Linked DNA regions of Mus musculus: region 2 is reported to be linked to region 1. Evidence: microRNA targets listed by miRTarBase, many of them from high-throughput screens and not tested one by one. Region 1 holds a microRNA gene; the other region holds the end of a gene's coding sequence. Distances are between the middles of the regions.
The links. Region 1 holds the annotated microRNA mmu-miR-466i-5p (UGUGUGUGUGUGUGUGUGUG, at 2,412-2,431, opposite strand). A microRNA usually pairs through its seed, bases 2 to 8, with sites in the 3' UTR of a target mRNA and lowers its output. Matches are read on the target gene's strand: a 7mer-m8 pairs with bases 2 to 8, a 7mer-A1 pairs with bases 2 to 7 and ends in A, and an 8mer does both.

Region 2: the mRNA of Sh2d2a is a reported target of mmu-miR-466i-5p. Seed matches in the 3' UTR shown: 8mer at 3,701-3,708, 8mer at 3,331-3,338, 8mer at 3,329-3,336, 8mer at 3,327-3,334, 8mer at 3,325-3,332, 8mer at 3,323-3,330 and 48 more.

The regions. Positions count from the first base shown.
Region 1 is chr3:85,465,588-85,469,812 of GRCm38, reverse strand. Mir466k (microRNA 466k) reads right to left here and starts at 2,436; the gene lies at 2,315-2,436. All of the region lies in intron 1 of Gm31419 (a long non-coding RNA gene), which reads left to right.
Region 2 is chr3:87,852,092-87,856,316 of GRCm38, reverse strand. It overlaps Sh2d2a (SH2 domain containing 2A), which reads right to left. Exons shown (of 7, transcript NM_021309.3): 7 at 595-4,225. The coding sequence ends at 3,909. Among named protein-coding and RNA genes, the nearest start is that of Sh2d2a, 7.4 kb to the right of the region's middle.

The DNA of each region.
Region 1 (4,225 bases):
AGGCCCCGGACCGAGGCTGTGAAGGTCAGCTGCCCTTATCCATGCACTACTGGGCAGTGGAAACAACAGGCTTCTTGGTGGGCACTACTGGATGTTTGTGGTTGCCATGCAGCAACTGATGACTGGTACAGACTCCAAAGCACTCTCGAGGGCCCACCTCGTGGCATTCTCTCTAATGGCTTGTTTTTGGATCCTCTTGCCCTTACTGATTACATGATAGCAGCTGTTCCTGCCTTGGGGCTTCGTATTGGCTGTGTCCTCTACTGTATTTTCTTCTGTGGGTCACTGTCGGTGCTAAATGCAGTGAAATGAACTAGCGAGACAGTGGGCCCTGGCAAGGGCAGAAGGAAACAGTGACATGGGGTGACCTGAGCGGTGGCATTGTGCAGACAACTGGAGGAGGAGAGAGGACAGCTCACACATATCAGTCTGGGTGGAGGGAAAGAGAGCTAGAGGCCAGCTGGATCTGGTGTGCTCTCTCTCTCTCTCTCTCTGTTTCTTCCCGAATCAGTGGCTTTAGATACACCATCGCATTATCTAAAACCTCCCTCCTTCCCTCCTCATCCTGCCTGCTCCCCCATCTTCTTAATTGGGGTCAATCTTTCCAAGTCTCTCAGCTCAAGGGAGGAAGTAGTATCTGCTGTAGCAGATGGTCCTACATTCTGGTGACATCCTAGCTTTCCAGGTATCCCTTGGAAACAATCTTGAGTTTGTAGCCTCCCAACAATATGAAAAGTTAGACTTAGAAAAAAAAATGTTTAAAAGGAAGTAAATAAATATTTTTTCCTCTGCTATTCATATAAATATTCTGAGATACAATAATAATAATAATAATAATAATAATAGCCTGAAAATACCCTGGGTGTGACCAGTTAGTTGAGAGCTGGCAGTGTGTGTGTGCCCTGTCAGCTGCAGGGTGATAGCTAGGATTTAATTGCCCTTCCTAAGATGCAGCTCAGTAGAGTGAGGTGAACTAGAGTCTTTCTATATACATGTCTCTGAGGACAAGACTCACAACAGCTTCCACGTTACCCAGGACCCAGTTGGACCGTGGACACTCAGGCTTCACCACAGACCTCCTGGCCTTATTTCCTGGGGGTTGGTGTGCACAATCAGCTCCAGGAGAGCCAATCAAGTCCTTGTGGATGTCATGTCTCAGTGTCCTCTTTATTAGGATGTCACAGGTAAATTCCTGTGGCTGGTGCCAAGACAAACTGCCTAGAACATTTTATTTGCTGGCTTGCTCTGATTAAAGTGGAGAACGCACTGCACTTTCTCGTTTGTGGTCACCTGCTAAATCTTTACCTTATTTCTGGTGTTGCCTAACACAGCGTCTCATACACAGCAGAAGAGAAAGAGTCACTAAATGAATGAATGAATCTATTTCCTATTTCCTTCGAAATTTGAGCCTCTGCACAGGCTGAGATGTACTGGCGTGCTTTGTGTTGTTGTTGGAGGTGGAATCTGGGGTCTTGTATATGCTGGGCAAGTGTTTCATCATTGAGCTATAACCCAAGAGCTAAAAAACTTGTTCCGGTGGCATTAGGGTAGCAGACAATTTTTGGGGAAATGAAGTTTGTTTCCAGAAGGCCTAGGGCTGTGGAATCCTGGGTATAATGGATGCTTAGAAGAGAAGAGATGACTTCAGGTCTCAAGGACTGAGGACATGTCCCTAGTTTTCAGTGACTGGCTTTTATACCACCAGAAGCTCTGCACACTCTGTACTGACCCTTTTCCTGTGAACTTCCCTGTGTAACATTTGTTCCTCTGTTTTATCAGCTGAATGATGGAACCTCACAGCCAAGAACTTTGAGAGGTCAAAAGGACCTGGCTGCTTCCTGCAGGTGGCAATGGCTTCCTTTCTTCTTCAGCCTTTAGACAGTTTGGATTTCAAATTATTCCATCACTTTCTAGAACATTCCAGATCCAAGCTCTCCTCTCCTATCACAGATGTATTCTGCAGCGCTGGGCCTCTCTACTGCATGTGGTTGTGGGAGAAGAAAGCCGCTGAGGTAGTTGAAGCCATGTTTAGCTTTTAGTTCTGTGAGGCAAGAGGGCCAGGACAGAGCATTTCCCCTTCCCTGTCAAGATATCAGCACCTGCTTGGGAAGCCAGAAGATGGAGGAGTAAAAAAGCTCCTGTTCCTCGGGGGCTTGCAGGTAAGGTCACGGCCAGTGCAGAGGTGCCAGTCTTCTCCTGCCCTATAAGGCTGCTGCTACCTGTGAAAGATCAGTGCAGTTGCTTACCTGTCACCTAGGCCAGATGGAGACACAGCCATCGGAGTCACAATTAGTAACACCTACTCACCATACACACACATGCACATGCACACATATACACATATATTCACATACTCACACACATGCACATGTACAAACATATACACACACATACTCACATGTACATGTACACACACACACACACACACACATATATATGTATATACACACCTGCACACACACACACACACACACACACACACACACACATATCAATAGAGAACATGCATATACACGTACATGCACTCATGCACATGCACACCCATGTGTATATGCACACACATACATACACATATACACATATGCATGCACACACACACATACACTTATTTCTATAGGAGGGTGTACATGAATGTATATCACATGCACACATGTATATGTGTGTGAATATAGGTGAATATACAGCCCCTCCCATCCTGGAAACTAGCACATTCATATAAGACACCATAATACAGCTTTTCAATATTTTCTTTTCTGTAAGAAAGTAGGGAATTGACTGAAGTCCAGGGCTGTTGCAGTTCAGAAGTTCGGCTCTTTATCTAAATGTGGCCCTGAGAGTTAGGCAGCAGATGGAGGTAACATGGCAGCTTCCAGGGCTTGGAGTCAATGACTTCAATGAACAAAAACAGACACTTTCTTTTACTCGCTCCATTGAGAACATGACCACACATTCCTGGCTCACAGGAGACCCCTAAATCTGGAGGCCACTCCACGATGTCTCCTCATCCTTAAAGTAGAAAGTGGGACTGCGGAATCTGTCATGTGCTCCATCTTGGGCCACTGATGGGGTCTGTGTGAGATGAGATCTGATTTGCCTCGGTTATTCTGGGATGCACATTGGCTACTCTGCCCACTTCATCCATTCTGAGCTACTACCAATCTCCATCCTTACAGGCAGCAGCCAATTTGAAACGTACAGTTGTATACTCCCACTTCAGGTTACTTTTGCCAACACATATTACCTTATGTTTATTTGAGTTAAGTTTCGTCTGCCTGCAGGCTGCACAATCCCCCAAAGTGTTCCGATGCACCTGGAATTTCTTGCAAATCTTCTCTGTTTTTATTAGCCACAACAGTTTGGAACTAGTTGAAACCTCTGGGAAGAGATTAGACAACAATTACTGCCCGTTGCTCATGTAATGTCTGGCCAGGTACATGAGCCAGCAGGCCTTGCTTGGCGGGGTGGGGGTGGGTGGGCATGATAGCATTTCTATCCACTGGTCTGTCTTTTGAACTCTCAACTCTGGACAGGTACCAGGGAGCCAGCCTATCCTTGGGGTGTATGTCTACACAGGGGCATAGAGCTGTCTTATTTACAGGTTTTAGAAGCTACTGCTCTGGAGCCAAGGGAATGTGTGTTATCAAGGCCCACTCTGTCTGGTCCCCTTGGATATTACAGAAAGAAGGGACAGAAGAAGAGAGCCGAGGGAGGGGAAGGAAGCTTGCAGCACTGCTCGCTATGCTGGGTTCTGTAAAATCAGGTGATTAGACATGGGAGGAGGAAGGACAGAAGTATCACCCTTCGGACTCCTCTGGAGAGGCTGAGACATCACCATGGTCACATCCTGGAATCTGGGAATGAGGACTGGTTGAGGCTGGAAGCCACTGTCCTCAAGACCAGGTAGGACATCAAGGACCAGTTCCACGAGCCAGGATGGAGGAGGTGAAGCGGGCTGCTGCTTGCGGAAAGCAGCTTCTGTGAGCAAGGCTGGTGTGTGGGCAGCAGCTTAGGCTGAACGGATCCCAGAGCGTTCCAGCGAGCTAATCTTGTCAGCCTCAAGCTGTTCCACAGACAGTGGGTGTGAATCCAAAGCCATCTTAGATGCTCAGCTCTCAAATGTTTCTTTTAAGAAAATAAAAAAAGAGAGATTGAAGGTACACCAGACCCAAATGGGCCAGTTACCTGGGAAGGTTAGACTTGTGAGCTGTGAAGTGCAAGTATGCAG
Region 2 (4,225 bases), 2.4 Mb from region 1:
AGGAAAGTGGCTGGGTTTTGGTTTTAGCTTGCATTCGGGGGAGGACCATATAGAGGTAGCTAAGGATGATCAGCCCTTTTGAGTGCATGTGTGGAGGGGTCACTGCTACCCAGTCTCTCGTCCTCCAGGCAGGCACAAGGGACAATACTGAAACTTTCTGCTGTATTCCCCCAAGGAGCAGGGAATGGCAGTCGTGAGGATCAGTCACTGGCGAAAGGTTGGGTCTGGAGGACAGCTGGATCTACAGTGCGAACAGTCTGACTGTTGGCAGATGTGAGAGCAGGCTGGGCCAGAGTGCCTGGGCCGGGAAGAAGAAGTGCTATCTTAGTTTCTCTTCCTGTTGATGGGATAAAATATTCTGACAAAAGCATCAGCTGGGAGAGAGGGTTTTTATTTTTTGTTTTTTTCCTAGCTCACACTTTAAGCATGTCACGGCAGGGAAGTCAAGGCAACAGGAGAGTGTCTCAGGGTTTTACTGCAGTGAACAGATACCATGACCAAGGCAACTCTTACAAAGACAACATTTTATTGGGGCTGACTTACAGGTTCAGAGGGCCAGTCCATTATTTTCGTTTGTTTTGTTTTTTTGTTTTTGAGACAGGACACAAAAAGCACATGTTACCTTAAATGAGCTGTAGTAAATCGGGGTAACAGCTGTGTGGGGAGCTACACAGAGAGAGAAACAGTGGCAAAGGCTACCTCCAGAGACTCGGGTGACTCTGGAGCCAGTAGGGCCATGCATGGCCAGCCTCAGAAAACCTCCAGTGAGATGAAAGTGGGACCTAGCACAGACTGCTCCCGGGCTAGGACTCTAGAGGAGTTTAGCTCTAGGGCAGGAAGCCAGTCCTGAAGTGAGTCTGGGCAGAGAAGGGAGAAAGGCCCATAGAATGGGGCAGGGAGGGGGATGGGCTCCTGAGTGAGGTAAGGACTTAAGCTGCCTCCTCTGAGGGCTCACAGATTGCTAAGGCACCCTTCTCCCAAGTCCTGAGTTGCCCATCTCTATAGGCACCCACTCCTGTGCCCGGGCTGCCCACCCAGCCTACCCCAGCTAAGGGAGAAGCACTTGGCAAAGGGAGTCCGTGTCCTTGTCCTCATGGTTTTTAACTTTCAGCCAAAAGATCAATAACTTTGCCTAAGTGTCTTTGAACCTCTAGACCCCTATGAGCGACAGTGGGAGAGAGAAAAGGGCTGGGGAGGAGCTGGAAGGACAGAGATTCCCGAGGAGGGAGATTGTTGCTAATGATTTATTAGCCAGACAAGGACCAACAAACAAATCCTAACATCTGTTCTCACCAAAACATTTCTCAGACAACAGCAGCCATTGGATCGGGGCCCAGATGCGAAGGCTCAGAGTGCCAAGGCTTCCTAAAGTCCAGTTTCTTCAGGAGGAAAAACCAGGGCACAGGAGGCAGGATGGCTTCCCTAGTACATACAGTTCCTTGCCTTGGTTCCTGGTGACTTTCAGAAGGGAGCAGTGTGAGTGTCTGTGTGTGTGTGTGTATGCAAGTATGCATGTGTGTGTGTATGTGTTTATGTGTGTGTATGCATGTATGTGTGTATGTGCATGTGTGTGTGTATGCAAGCATGTGTGTGTATTCGTGTGTGTATGTGTGTGTGTGTATGCATGCATGTGTGTGTGTGTGTGTGTGTGTGTGTGTGTGTGTGTGTGTGTGTGTGTGGTGTGTGTGTTGCTATGAGGAAGCACAGATCCCACATTTGGTCCTCTGACTTCCAGGCTGCTTTGGAGCAAGGAAGGCAGACTTGTTAAGGGGACAGGGAAAGGTGGAGTGCAGGGAGGTCCCAGTGCAGAACTCTGGAGAGCAACCAGCTTCTTAGCTGAGGAAATCTCTCTGTCCCTTGTGGAGAAGTGAGGATTCAGAGGACGGATGGGGAATGCTGAGAGGGGTTTCAATCCTTGACCTTGGCCCAGGCTTTCTCCTTCTCTGGCTTGTTTCTTGATTTGCATAATGAGAGGACTGGACTTAATTGATAGGAGAGAAAGAAACGCTGCTCACCCTTCCCGCACCCACAGCAGACGCCACTCATCCGTCACCTGCTCCTTTCTGCTGAGCTTAGATCTGACCTTAATATCCTTCCAATGCTGCATGCCAGGCAGCCGAGACCAATGGATTGGAGCTGGCACGCGGGGTGACACCTCCTCGCCATCCGTGTAGCAGATGAAGCTCTGCTCACCTGTAGTCTATCCCACCTGCCTTCCCTAAGAGAGGACCCAGGGGTCTGTGAAGGTCTCAGGACACAAAATGCCCCAAGCTACCCTCCCAGATCAGACTTACCCCTAATAAGGCCTGATGGGGAGCCATGAGTGCTCTCTGTCTAGAAAGGGCAAGCCTCTAGGGCCAGGGGGGCTCATGATGAAGGACAGGGTCTTACTCTGCCACACAGTCCTCAGAATGCAGCTCTGGACCATCTGTCCTCTGCAGACAGAAGGACAGCTCTGGGTCATACCCTCTGCCTCTTTGGCAGAGCTACAGTCTCTAGGAGAAGGTATATGGTCTTAACCCTTTGGCCTCCAGAGGGGATTTAGGTTCCCGTCCATCCCTCTGCCTCTCCTCTTCTCCCTTCCCCCTCCCTCCCTGAGGCAGTTGCTTCATGCCAAGCACTGGGCCAGTACTTTAGAGATAGCTGAGCATCCCCCAGGGCTGCCTCTAGTGAATCAGGCTCTGCAGGAAGGGGAGATAGAAGAAAAAAAGAGCAATGGGAGTCTGGGCTGAGCAGGGGCCTGGCAAGGGTGTGTTGGGAGGTCAGGCCAGGGAAGGCTTTGCAAGGGGAAGGGCTTGTGGTCTTGAGTGGGGTTAAGGGTTGCCAGGCAGCAGGAGGGCGGTCTTGTAGGGATTGCTGTGGGCAGGACTGACTTGGTAGCCTTTGGTGAGTTTGGAGAAATATGGTGTGGGTGCTTGAAGTGGGGCTGACGAAGTGGGACCTCGCCTCAGTATGGAAGAGCTGGAGGACCAGGCAGCTGACTCACAGAGCCCATTTTGGCTTCCTCGGGGAAGAACAGGTCAGAGCTGACAAGCCTGGTACTAGGAAGGCAGTTAAGCCACTCAGTGAAATCATGGTGTGGCTCAGACATAGAGTGCTTGTCTAGCACGTACCAAGCCCCAAGTTTGATCCCACATACTGTAGGAGCACACAGTGGTAATTCCAGAACTTGGGAGGTAGAGGCAACTGACATTATTGACAGACAGAGACTGAAGCAAAGGGGATGGAGATGTTTAGGGACCCCACATTTCTGGCTGGATAGCTGGGTGCTGGGGGTTAATCAATCAGGGTGTGGAACACAGGACACTGTGCGTGGTGCATGTGTGTGTGTGTGTGTGCGCGCGCGCGCTCATGCGCGCGCCCACACAGGGTGCGAGTGAGGTTGGTTCAATTGATGTTGGAGTGGCTTTGGAACCCTGGCAGAGCCTGGATGGACCCAGGGTTAAGAAGGCTGGTAGGGTACAGGTGAGCTGGGCTGGTGAGGGCCAAGCAGGGACCTTTGGTGGCAGCAGAGAGGAAGCCTGAAGTAGGACCTGACGCAGGTACAAGGGAAAGAGTCTGACTCCTTTAATAGTAATACCACATTCAGACATGACTGAAACTCTGTGGGGAAACTGTGAGGGTGAGCACACAGTGTGGCAGCCTCCTCCTCTGAGCCCACTGGCAGTGACGCTCTCCAGGGAGCTGGGTCAGTGTCACATGTGTGTGAGGAAGGCCTGACCAATGAGAGGCAGCCTGGGATGGAGAGTGGTTGAAGGAAACCTGAAGTAGGGGCAGGTAGGGCTTGACAAAGCTGAGTCCACGTGAATGTCCAGGAAGAGCCTTAGGCCTGGAGCTGGGCAAAGGTTTTCGGCAGCGTGGAACACTCCATCTCGCTTCAGCCTGCTGACCTTCACCTTGCCCGATATTCAGGAGGGGCTCCCTCTTTCTGCTCGACTCCTTGAGCTTATCTTTCCCTGTACCTCCCTTACCTGGCCTCTTGAGATAGGCCTGGACCAGCACTTTCGGAGGATGGGGTGTCCAATGGGCGCCGTTCCCGATGGCCCTTCCACCTCAGCATAGATATTACTAGGAGCGTCCCCAGGGCTGCCCCGCCCCATGGCATAGAAGGCTATGGGTTCATCAGGCTCCTGGTAGATGGGGTTAATGGGTGGGGCCTGATGCAGTCGTGAAGCAGGACTTGTATAGACTTCAGGAGGAAGCTGAGGCTTGGCGGGGATGGGCG